2 linked regions of the Coturnix japonica genome follow. The protein of the gene in region 1 purifies or fractionates together with the protein of each later gene. This does not show direct contact. Links are inferred from orthologs where the notes say so. Each region holds a gene or a part of one and is shown on either strand. Other genes may lie near its edges.

The links. Proteins that work in one complex are often made in the same cells at the same time.
Region 2: the proteins of DNM1L (region 1) and LRRK2 purify together in Homo sapiens (co-immunoprecipitation; 6 studies listed by BioGRID and IntAct, with this or other methods). This does not show direct contact. The link is inferred for Coturnix japonica from reciprocal best matches to the Homo sapiens genes DNM1L and LRRK2.

Annotation. Positions count from the first base shown.
Region 1 is NC_029516.1:53,515,290-53,522,219, reverse strand, and holds the start of DNM1L (dynamin-1-like protein), read right to left. Parts: upstream 4,179-6,930; 5' UTR 4,019-4,178; coding exon 3,917-4,018; intron 1-3,916. UniProt on the Homo sapiens protein: Functions in mitochondrial and peroxisomal division.
Region 2 is NC_029516.1:13,505,970-13,511,260, reverse strand, and holds part of LRRK2 (leucine-rich repeat serine/threonine-protein kinase 2), read left to right. Parts: exon of another isoform or gene 1-2,832; coding exon of another isoform or gene 2,833-2,874; coding exon 2,875-2,981; intron 2,982-4,584; exon of another isoform or gene 4,585-4,774; intron 4,775-4,871; exon of another isoform or gene 4,872-5,073; intron 5,074-5,291. UniProt on the Homo sapiens protein: Serine/threonine-protein kinase which phosphorylates a broad range of proteins involved in multiple processes such as neuronal plasticity, innate immunity, autophagy, and vesicle trafficking.

The DNA.
Region 1 (6,930 bases):
GGGTTTGTAAATTGCCTACCCAGTTGCTTGGCACAACTTTGAGTTTGCCAACATGGATTAGGATGTGTTGCTGGATGAACCAAGTCCCTTCTCTGCAGGGAAGGGCACTGTAGTTCCGTGCAGCATAAAATAAAAACACAAAAATAAAAACGTAACAAATTGAAAGCATGCAAAATAAAAATGTAATGCTCATCCACGGGTCAATCATAGTCTTAAGGAACAGCTTGTTTGGATGGCAGCATCCAACAGACCAAACTATGTTAAGCACTATAAGATACACTTGCACACTGGAAGTCCCAAAATAGCATTTACTATTGCTCAGCCTTCACAAATGTCCACTTGAAAGGTCTTTTATAAATATCTTTGTGAATTGCAGCTGCTTATTCATGCAATTTCATCATGAAGTCTCTATTATAATCGTCACTGCAAAGCACAACTTTTTCCTTTCTAAAATAATGCTGGTGTTAGGAGAATTCCTTTGTTACAGAGCTAGCACTAAAGTTAGTACATATCTAGGTCAGTGACTTGTAGAAACCCTAAAGAGATGCCAAGAATTAAAGACCTGGAAAAAAAGAAAAAAAGAAAGAATAAGAGAAAAAAGAAATAGGGAATTCACTTCCACACATCTCTAGGCACTGATTCTGTTGATGTTTAATCTAAAAGTCACGCTCTCTTCTGTCATGTAGGTATTTCTATTATAATACCTACACCTCCTTCACAGAATCACAGAATGACCCGGGTTGGAAGGGACCTCAAGGATCATGTAGTTCCAACCCCCCTGCCTGGCAGGGCCACCAAACATACACCTTTACTAGATCAGGTTGCCCAGGGCCCCGTCCAACCTGGTCTTGAACACCTCCAAGGACGGGGCATCCACAACCTCCCTGGGCAGCCTGTTCCAGGGCCTAACCACTCTCCTAGTGAGGAGTGTCCTCCTTAACACATAAAAGGCCATAACTCAGTTTTCTTCCCTGCATCTCATTTTAGCTCAGTATTAATGTGTTTGGTTGAGGCACCTCAATACAACCTCAATATCCCTTGCCACAAAGCAAAGTATCGATATCAAAGACATCATAAGGACAATAGGGTTTGCGTAGCATTCCCAGCCTCTACACTGCTTCACATTTCAGCAACACAGCTGTAAGGTGGCAACTGAAACACTGAATCAGGAAAAACAGCACACCTACTGGGAAGGACAGCGAAACCCTAAAATAGCAATACATAGTTGGCCGTGTAAGGGTGCCCTGCAAGTCCTATCATCGGCAGTTTTCTTAGCAGATTCCATACCAGGGTACAGAGATGACTTTTACAGTCAACTATGGGGGAAAGCTTGGAGTCACACAGCACTTAACCAAAAATATCTTAAGGGACAACGCTGTTAAAAGGCAGGTTTCAAAAACACATGGAAGCCAATTCTCAGCAGCAAAACCGTCAGCCCTAAGGACATATGTGAGACATCTCCAGAAACCTGGGCTGCCATAAACTACATTGAAAGGACTAAACGAATACAATCTTAAGTATGAAATAACTGCAGAAAATAACTACAGAGTCACTGCGTCCATGAAGACAATTATATTTTTCAGGAGCTGAGACTTAAACAAAAGAACAAAATTTGGCTACAGTTTCCCATCCAATTTGCTACATATTTTCCTGAGGTAAATAAAGGCATTCAAGCTGGTCTCCTAAAAGATACAGTACCACTATACCTTACTCACAGGTCTTAACACCAAAGGGGTATTAATACAGAAGGGCAGACTACTCATTTCCACTGTCTTCTTTCCTGGCCTGACTACGGAAGTTTGAAGCTTCAGCTTAGTCAGTGTTGTTATGAGTCAGAATTCATGGTTTGTCCAGGTCTCAGGAAATCCAGGATTACCCTTTTCCCATCCCAAAAGACAACGTGCATCACTTTAACCACTGAGGGCTGCGCCCTGTTAAATTCCCATTGAAGAAGTTTGTATCACCACTCCATGGACAGCCATTGGAACTTCGGTTCCTAGTGTTGACACCGTGTCCTGTCACTGATAATGATTCAATACAGGAAACAGTCATCTCATATTGGTTCAGCAGGACCTGATAAACCTGCATATGATGTTCGTTCTGATCCTGTGTGAGAACTCATGGGACCCACCCAGCACTAAATTTGTGATATTCCAACATTGCCACCATCATTTCCAATGCAATGAAATTGATATTTAGGTCTGCACACAATTCTCTGCTTGTAATCTGCTGATCTGTGTGGATGAGCGGACTGAGACGGTCTTCATTTCATGATGTGACAGCTGTGCATGGATGTGTGGAACATGGCTTGCCCTTCACATCGCTGTCACCGCAGCTGAAATGCACCACCCACTGCCTCACTGCACTCACATCCAATGTTTGGGCTCCATAAAGGTTCAACAAGCATCAAAGAATGACAACGAGTGCCATTTTTTCTGCGGAGGAATTCAGTTCCCCACATTTGTTTCATATGCGCTTCCATATCAGACACCACTTAGTCAGCCTGCCCCTCTGCTGCCATCTGTTACACCGCAACATAATGTAATGAACAGAATATTGACGGGAAGGTTCAACCTCTACTGCCAAAGCACCTACATCCACCTCTGACACTGTAGGCCAATACAATAAACTAGGAGGCATGACTTCCAAAGTAGCCTCTGTATGCGAAAATAGTCCTATGTACTCCATGTACTTTTAAGTTAACTAAGTTAACTAAGATAAGGTCGTTACAAAAGACTTCAGCACATTGGAATGAAGCTGAAAGGCATATTTCCATGAATTTCAAGTATAAAAACATCACACCTCTGCTTTACACCCTTCTGATAGAGAAATAAAAAAACAGCATTGACAACAACAAAATCAGTTTATATTGTTAATATAATGAGATTGGAAGTTTCTACACAGCAAAGGGCTCCTGCGATCAGCAGAAACCAAGGACCTGATATAACTGACCAGTACAAAGTCTCCTCCTCAGCGCCGGTGTTGTGGATCTCTTTTATAAGGCAGCTGACACAGAGTCTCTGAACCAGCTGACTGATGGTGGTTAAGCAAAGGAAGAGCTGCCTACCCTACAACCACACCACAACTGGCTTTGAGGAAAGCCATGCCATGCTTCAGCTATAAGCTTGCAGTCGGTGCCTTCAAAGCCATGTAACGATACCCAGCTGCAGAGCATCTAGCACAATTCTCTTGATGTCAGCCTACTATTGTCAAGTAACGGCATATATTCAATAAATAAAAAGAAAGAAGGTGATGTACTAAAGCCAAGTTTTGGTTGTGTTTAATGTTTCATTTTCACTTCTCCTATGACCGCCACCGTTCTGGACTGGAAGTTATGCTGAGGAACAGCGTCCCGTTTGGACGCTGGGTCCTCCAGAAGGGTTTGGAGTCCCGTTTGGATACACCAGAAGGATCTGAAGTCCCGTTTGGATATATCAGAAGGGTCTGGAGCCCCGTTTGGATACATCAGAAGGGTCTGGAGCTGCTCGTTCAGCCCCTCAGCGTTACCAGGCTGGGACACACTGTAACGCCAAGACAGGCCGCTTTGGCTGCCAACAAAGAGGTCCTAAAGGCGGCACAACAGCTCAGCGACCCCTCAGCACAGCCGACACCCGCAGGTGCCGTCCCTCTGCTCTCCATCCCTTCAGCTCAGCGGCCCGTAGGCCGGGGGGTTGCCCCGGGGAGCGCCGCGGCCGTTAGAACCGGCGGGGGAAGGAGGGCGGTGGCACGGGCACTCCCAGCGCCAACGGGGGGGGCCGCGGGCACAGCTAAGGGCGTCCCGGCCGCCCTCGTCCCCCCGTGCCCTTGGAAACGGAGACCGCGGCTCAGCGGCCCCAGAGGAGCAGGGGACGAGCCGACATTAACCCGGGGCGGTGCGGCCCGGTCGTACCCGCCGCCTCGTCCCGCCCCGCCTCACCTGCGTGCCCACCACCACGATCTGCGGCAGCTGGATGATGTCGGCCCCCACCGTGTTGAAGACATCTTGCAGCTTGTTGATCACCGGGATCAGAGCCTCCATGGCGGCGGAGGCGGACACAGCCCGGAGGGGCTGAGGGAACAGAGAAAGCCGGGGAAGACGTCGGCGATGAATGGGCGCGACGGGCAGCGGCTCCCGTCAGCCGCCCCCTCCGCCTGCCGCCATTGGAGCCGGCCCCCGCGCACGGCGCGGCCCCCAGCGGGCAGTGCGGGCTGAGCGCCGCGGGGATCCACGGGACATGTAGTGAGGAATGGGGCCGGCCGCACTGGGCCCAAGGCCTGTGGAGATCGTCCATTCGCTTAGGTGTGCTGAAACCAATTGCTCTCAGAGCTATTAGGATCATTAACACAGAATCACAGAATGACCCGGGTTGGAAGGGACTTTCAAGGATTCATGTAGGTTCCCAATTCCCCCCTGGCCTGGCTAGGGCGCCACCAAACATGACACATTTTACTAGATTCAGGTTTGCAGGGCCCGTCCAACCCCTGGTCTTGAACACCTTCCAAGGACGGGGCATTCCACAAACCTCCCTGGGCACCTTGTTTCCAGGCCTTAAACCGACTCTTCCTAGTGAAGAGACTTCCCGTCCTAACATCAATCCTAATCTTCCCTCTTTTTAACTTTAAAACCATTTCCCTGTGTTCCTTGCTATTAGTCAGCCCTTTCGAAGAGTTTACTCCCCTCCTGGGAGTAAGTTCCCTTAGGTATTGAAAGGCTGCAATGAGGTCACCCCGCAACCTTTCTAGGCCTGAACAACCCAACTCAACTCATACAACACAGTGTATTGCATATAAATACATAAGGATGTGGAAATTAAACCTAGATCTGGATGTTTCTAAGCTACTAGTGGTTGGAAACAGGGTGACTGTCGTGCACAAGCGCTCAGTGCTTGACCTTTAGTCCATCCCAATATGGCTATTCTTAGAATTTAATCAGTGTAATATATTTCATTAAGAACACAGTGAAAATATCATTTGCCAAAATGTGTAGAGATAACTCAGCTTTCCCAGCAGAACTGTCAAAAAATACCATCAAGGACACTATACCCACATGGAGAAACACAACTTAAATGGATGAAATGAATTAATGAACAGAAGAGAAACAAGAAGAGCGGACTAAATAAGACTAAATAAGATTAGGAAACCCAAGGAAGAAAATCTTACCACATTGTCTATTTCTGGCTAAAAAGTGGGTTCTGGAAATACCTTTGCTATAAAATGTTGTGTCTATTACCAACTTACCAAAGCCAGCATTTACCTCAATCCAGAGCAACTGCACCAAAGCAATCATCATTTTGGCAAGCAGTGACCATCCTGAGCTTTAATTATCTAATTTCCTTAATAGGCTTATGTTGTACAGGGCAAGAAACTCAAAGATCTGATAAGAGACAGACTGGTTTTTACTAAAGGTTAATTAACATAAGAAAACAGGAACTGCCGCACTGAATCTGACCTGATATAAATCTACCTCAGGATGTCATTTCTGAGTACGTTAAGCACCAGGATTCCTGGGGAAATTATAAAAGTATGGTAATAAGATCTTCTGATCACAGTCCTGTGTATTAAATCTGATTTTGTCTGTAAAATCTGAAGCTGACAGATCAACGTGCCTTCTGTTTTATCGATGCTACTTGAAACCAGATTGTTCTGTTTGCATTATACCATATAATATATTTCTGTGTGCCATGGAGTAAAATTCTTGGCTGCAGCAACATCCTGCAATAGTAAATTTCATGATCTAATTACTCATATTGCAAAGAAAACCAATTTGGTGTCAGCTTTGAAATTCTTGTGTCCTAATTTCATTATAAGCTTGCTTGTTTTCGTGTCTGAAGTCAGAACAAAATTAACAGAATTTCCAATTCTCCTTCTCCACTGTGTGAATTTCTTATACTGTTTTGCATCATCAGCTGCTTCCTTTAACTCAGACAAATCGCCATCCCTGGATGTGCTTAAGAGGCGTTTGGATGTGGTGCTCAGGGATATGATTTAGCAGAGGGCTGTTAGAGTTAGAGTGCTATGGTTAGGCTGCGGTTGGACTTGATGATCTTCAAGGTCTTTTCCAACATGGGTAATTCTATGATTCTATGATTCTATAGTGACATGCAGAGAAGAGCAGACCACTCATCTGCTATTTAATGACTTCATGCCAGAAAACTACAAGCTACCATGACATTAAAGGTTATTTCCTTGCTGTCATCTTTGTCTAGAGGAAGAAATATTTGATAACCACATTTTAAAGTTTCAATTATGTAATGTAACATGTGCAGTGTGTACACCACCATACTACTTAGTACTGCACAAAAAGTAATGGCAAAATATTTTTGTAAATTATTCCTTGATAATGTCAACTTGGCAAATTCTCAATACAAAATACTACTTTTCAACATAGGTACCATCATGAGCTACACCACATTTTCACTGGCAATAAATAAGGTCCTGCATGCCATGCTCATAAAAATCTTCACCAGTGGAAGTGACCCACTGTTTCACAGCTGCTATGACAGTGTAGTTGGTAGGAAAATGTTGCCCACACAGTCCATCTTTCATTGGCCTGAACAGATGGAAGTCAGAAGGTGCCAAATCTGGACTATATGGTGGATGTTGTAGGACAGTCCAACCAAGGTTGACAGCGTGATTTTCATACTGGTATGGCACCTGGTGTTACGGTGTTGCAAGAGAAGAGCTATCTTCTTCCCCAGACTGACTCTGGAAGTTTGAGCCTTCAGCTTAGTCAGTGTTGTAATGTAGTAGTCAGAGTTGATGGTTTGTCTGAGTTCCAGGAAATCCAGAAGGATCACCCTTTTCCCATCCCAAAAGACAGCACACGTCCTTTTACCAACTGAGTAATGCATCTTGAACTTCTGTTTCCATGGGGAATCTCCATTTTGACAGCTCTCCATGAACTGTTCTGACTGGCTTATAGTGGTAACACCACCTCCTGTTATTGGCAGT
Region 2 (5,291 bases), about 40 Mb from region 1:
TTGTACTAAGGCATCAAAACAAAGCTCAGAGGCAGCGCAGAGCTCCAATCTGCACAAAATGCCATGGGCAGCTCTTTCTTCATGTTCTATTATAGTATTTGCAAACACCCACAGTGTCTCAGCAGGGCTGCTTTCCTTGCTGCACCCATTGCAACCTTTGTGAATACAAAATCTTATGGCAGCAGCAAGAGGACGTGGCCCCAATTTCGTTGTAGTCTCTTCATACTGCTAATGAGTTTTCATTGAATAAATTGATTGACCCTTTTGGCATTGCGATAAAAGTGACTCACATAACAGAGTAAGCACAGTGAGAGCTGTATCTGAAATGAGGATTTTCTTTGCCATCCCATACTCACCAATTGCAAAGCACTGTGTGCTGTTGCTGTTCCACCAGCTTGTACAGAGTCAATTTGCTTAACAGCTCAATATTTCAGGTGTCAGTGCAAGTCAGGCTATGGGCATAAGCCTTACTGCTCCTTTATAAGTAGAAAGAGACTGAGCTATAAGGTCAATACCACCATGAAGTAAAATAGACATCTTTTAAGTGAACGTGGCAGCTTCTTTATGCAATTCCTGGTTGACGCTGACTGGAGTGGGTTAGAAACTGTGGAGCGGAATTTGTACACACTTGAGGAAAGAGCAGCCAGCAGAGCTTTATTGTGTCACACAGAAGGGTGTGAGCTAATGTCATATCAATTCATTGCATGCTAGAAATGAAAAGGACTCAATTTAAAAATAACAAGAGTTTCAGTGCTGCTATCAGCTGTCTGTGTCTTAAAAGCTCAGATGCTTTTAAGAATATCTTTGTGTTCTGTGCTTTTTTCTGTCCCCTGTAACCTTTAGTGTTTCTGTTATTTAAAAAATCTCTGCTTGCTTATGGAACTGTAAATTGATAATGAGCTCTTTGTTATCTCAGACTGTGATTTTAATATTGTAAAACTGACCACATATCATTGGGTCACATGTTTGCTTCTGACTTCCCTGACTACACAGTCCTTACGAATGTTTGGCACACTTGGAGTCACAATAATGCAAGTAAAAGCGATCAATAGAAACATCAATATTACAGTCCATTTTAGTACAAAAGTTACTTCTGTAAAGTCACTGTGCTAATTTTCATTGGGTTCTAAGTTTAGCAGTTCCTATGGCAGAAAGTGGTATTTCAGAATCTTTTTTCAGTAGTCTACAGGGTATCAATTAATGGTCACCTCTGCAATGTATTTGTCTTGCAGATTTGATATTTGTTGCTTTGAACATGGAAAATTAGATGATATATAACCCCATATTGGGGAGCTTTGGTGGATGCTATTCTTCAAAAGTTGATTGAGACTCCGTCACACAGCCTAGACTAGTTCACAGTATCACAGTCTCGTGCGGGTTGGAAGGGACCTTAGAGATCATCATGCCAACCCCCTAATTTTCCTGACTGTCCACAGTAATTGGTTTACACTTCAACACGGAACAACTCAGCTCACTGCCTAAGCAAGGGAAAAGCATGACAACTGACTCATGGTTAAGCTCAAATTGCAAGTTTGAGCTGAAGAGTTAAATCGCCTTAAAATATTTGGCTCTGCAAATGTGCACTACAACAAAAGCAAAGCTACTGCAGACAGCGTGAACGTGGTGCCTGTGACCTATGAAGTATTCTCAGAATTCTCTTGCCTTGGGAGCTACATCACCTTTTTCATAGACGTGCCAAAGCGGTCATGAAAGCTGCCAAGTTTGTAGTCTGTGCTGCTTGTGTCTCTTGTCTTTCATGCTGCAGGATTAGAGATCACAGAATCTCTGTGAACTCTGCAGTTATACAGTTAGACTCCACAGAAAAGCCCGCTTACTTTCCTGTTTTTGGTAGCTGTCTTGTCTTGACCTTCTCTTGACTTTATATAGCTCTCCTGCTGAAATCTGGTTTAATTGTGCTTATTGTTTTTGAGCTATACCTAAATTATAGCATCATAGAATGGCTTGGGTTGGAAGGATCATCGTGTTCCAACCCCCCTGCCACAGGGATTGTTGTCTCCTATTTAAACCCTATTTTTACAGCGCACAGTTCTACTTCCACTTTTTGTTCTTTTTTTCTTTCTTTTTTTAACATGGCCAGGAATGCTTTGTTTCCATTCCTATACGTGAAATCTATTTTGTCTTGAACTTTTGACATTTCTCAGCTCTCTTCCTCTCTTCCAGTACAGCGGGGTTTTCTTGTTCATCAGCTAATTATTTTGTTGCATGGATTTTGCTCAGTGCTATCGTCCACATGTTCAGTTTTATCAGCTTGAAGGCTGATATGCCCAGCATGCTGTCATAATGATAAAGACCATTGTTCCACTATCAGCGAACAGATTTCTCCAGCATGGACAACCAAAGAGGAGCATTTTATTTCAGCTTATTTATCTTGTTTATTTCCAGCATTCTTTTCTGCTATTTGAAAGTCCAGGCACTTGACTTAGAGTGACAGTTTCCAAAACTGAATACATCTTTTCTCCTCATCATTTGCAATTAAGCATCAAATTCTTATGGTGAGTGCTGTGCTTCAGTGAAGCTGGAACAGCTGCAATAGTCCAGTGATCTTTAGAGGCCCATGATGGAATACCAGGGATCTCCTGTCTTATTTTTCTCTCTCAGCATCTCTTGTGTGTGTGTTCTCTAGCCTCAAGGTGGTGTGTTGTTCCAGGTGATGCACTGAGAATCATTAGCGTGTTTTACTTTCAGCTCTTAATTTTTTGTGTCCTTTGTCTTGTCTTGTGTTAATGAAACACCTCTCATTTAGCTAGGTATCTTTTCAGAACATGTATCTTCTGAAAGCCGGGGTATTAAAACACAACGCTGGGGTTCCAAATGGAGTATCTGTTCTACAATAACTGTATTATTATTTTACAGATGGGTTGGTCACTTCTTTGCAAACTGATAGAAATTTGTCCAAGCACTCTACAGAACATTGCTCTTAAGGACGTTGGGAAGGACTGGGAAGTACTGGGTGTTCACCAGTAAGTATGTTGTATGCAAAGAGTCTTTCAAAGTGTTTTATATCACGGCAACATAAATATGCAATAGGGTGCATTTATGTAAAGTTATTACATCAGCTTCTATATAAAGATTTTTATGGATTTCTTCAGGTTTTACAATAAAAGACTCACACAAACAGGGATCTTGTCTGTCTGTGTGCATAAATTACCTGATGGGGGGAATAAAGAAAACCGAGCCTCCTCTCTGAGATGTGCCCAGTGATGGGACCAGAAGCATTAGGCACAAAATGAAATAGAGAAAATTCCTCTTAAACATTAAAAAACCCAATCAGTTATTTTTTAATACTTTGGGATTGATCAGACACTGAAAAGGGTTTCTCAGAGAGGCTATAAAGTCCGAAGCCTTGCAGATATTCAGAACCTGACTGTCCACGGCTCTGCACAATCAGCTGTAATCGACCCTGTGCCAGGGATGGGAGCTGAATTAAGAGATCTTCTGAGCTCCTCGCCAGTTTCAGTGATTCTGGGATGCTGTGGCTCTGAAGATGTTTTATTTTAATAGACAGTATCACCTGGACAGTTTTGTGTGTGTGTTATTCACAAGTATGATGTGTTATATCCACAAGTCTCAAGTGGTATAGATCAAGACAGGGTGTTTCTTGCACCTGATCATGGTTGTCTGAAAATAAAGTGTTTAAAGTAGTCACCTCAATTACCTATGAAGTCAAAGGACACAGTTAACCTTCAGAAGATGATTCTTTCCATCGTTGCAGTGAGCAATGCTAAAGCAAGGCATGCTTGATTTGAACATGCCCATATCTCTCCATTGTCTGCTGAGGGAGCCTAACCAAAAGTGGCTGTGTTTAGATGAGATGAAGACTGGCAAAGGTTTACTGAAGTTGTTCCATAACACAAACGCTGGCTGCAAGTATAATACAAATGGGAGAGAAGGGCTTGGTCTGGTGTGCTCTCACTTTGACAGGTTGCCTTGTTCAGATAAAGACAGGAAGGAGCTACAGCCCTACGACTCTACGAGTAAATCTTTCTCTGCTTTTACAGTCTTCACCATACCCTTCCTTAGAAAGGCTGCTATTGTCATGTCACTTACATGAAGTTGTGGTACGTCTGTTGTGGTTTGTGTTTTTTTTTAATGGTGGCTAGAGTACAAAGTCAGCAGGGGCATGAACTGCCTTGTTTTTGTTGGAAAGCACAAGGGATTTTTTATTGCTTTTCATGAACAATAAATAACTGAGGTGAAGCTGTACCAGCTAGTTAAGATTTCTTTGTCAGGCTTGTTAATTAAATTATTCTGGGTGGTACAGTGTTTATCTCCTGTTCCTCAGAAAATTACTCTGGTTTTCAGCTGCTGTTTCATTCACAGTCTCGTGTTGTGAGTTATACATCCACACCTGTTGAGAATTAAGCACCACAAAGCCACCCACTCACTCTTTCCAGTAGGACTGGGAAGAGAAGCAGAGGGACAAAAGCGAGAGAACTCATCATTTGAGATAAAGACATCGCAATAAGTAAAAGAGTAAAAAATTAATAAAACAAAGGAAATGGCATAAAAGCAATAATTTACCACCAGTCCACCAATGCCCAGCCTGTCCGCAAGCAACAGCAATTCTTTGCAAACTTCCCCCAGTTTTATTGTTGAACATGACATTACATGGTGTGGGGCATCTCTTCGGTCAGTTCAGGAGAGCTGCTCTGGCTGCATTTCCTCCCACTGTATTGTCCACAGCTGAGTACCGAGCAAGGTGAAGAAATCTTCATGCTACTGTTTCTGCGTGGGTATGCATGTACACTCACGCCTGAAAATTGACAATAAAATGCATTAGGAAAGCTTAAGACTACAACATTTTAATCAGGAGGTTAAGGAACCGCATTTATGGGTGTTAGTTACTCTACCAGCTTGATTAGGGTGGTTCCTTGTTTTTGTTGATTCATCACCCAGATACTCAGTCCGTCCACTAGAGCTGTATACTTGGCCAAGAATTTGCTTCAGGACTGAAGTGCCAGTATCCAAAGTGTGCATACAGAAACGTCAGGGAGGAATCTGTTTAGAATTTGATAGGGTAGAATTCTCCAGGATGCTGTTCAAATCCCTTTGCTGAGAAATAAAAAATCCTTCATCATTCACTGTAATTTCACCCTTGCAACAAACAGAACACTGCCGTACCATCTACAGCCTGCTGCACCCCACTGCCCTGCTTTGTGTGGGATAGTTCTGTTCTGGATAACACTTGTCTCCTGTAAAATTAATAGAAGTATACACAATTAAAAGTTAAATGACTTCAAAAACTGCTGCTAATTTCTGTAACTGTTCTT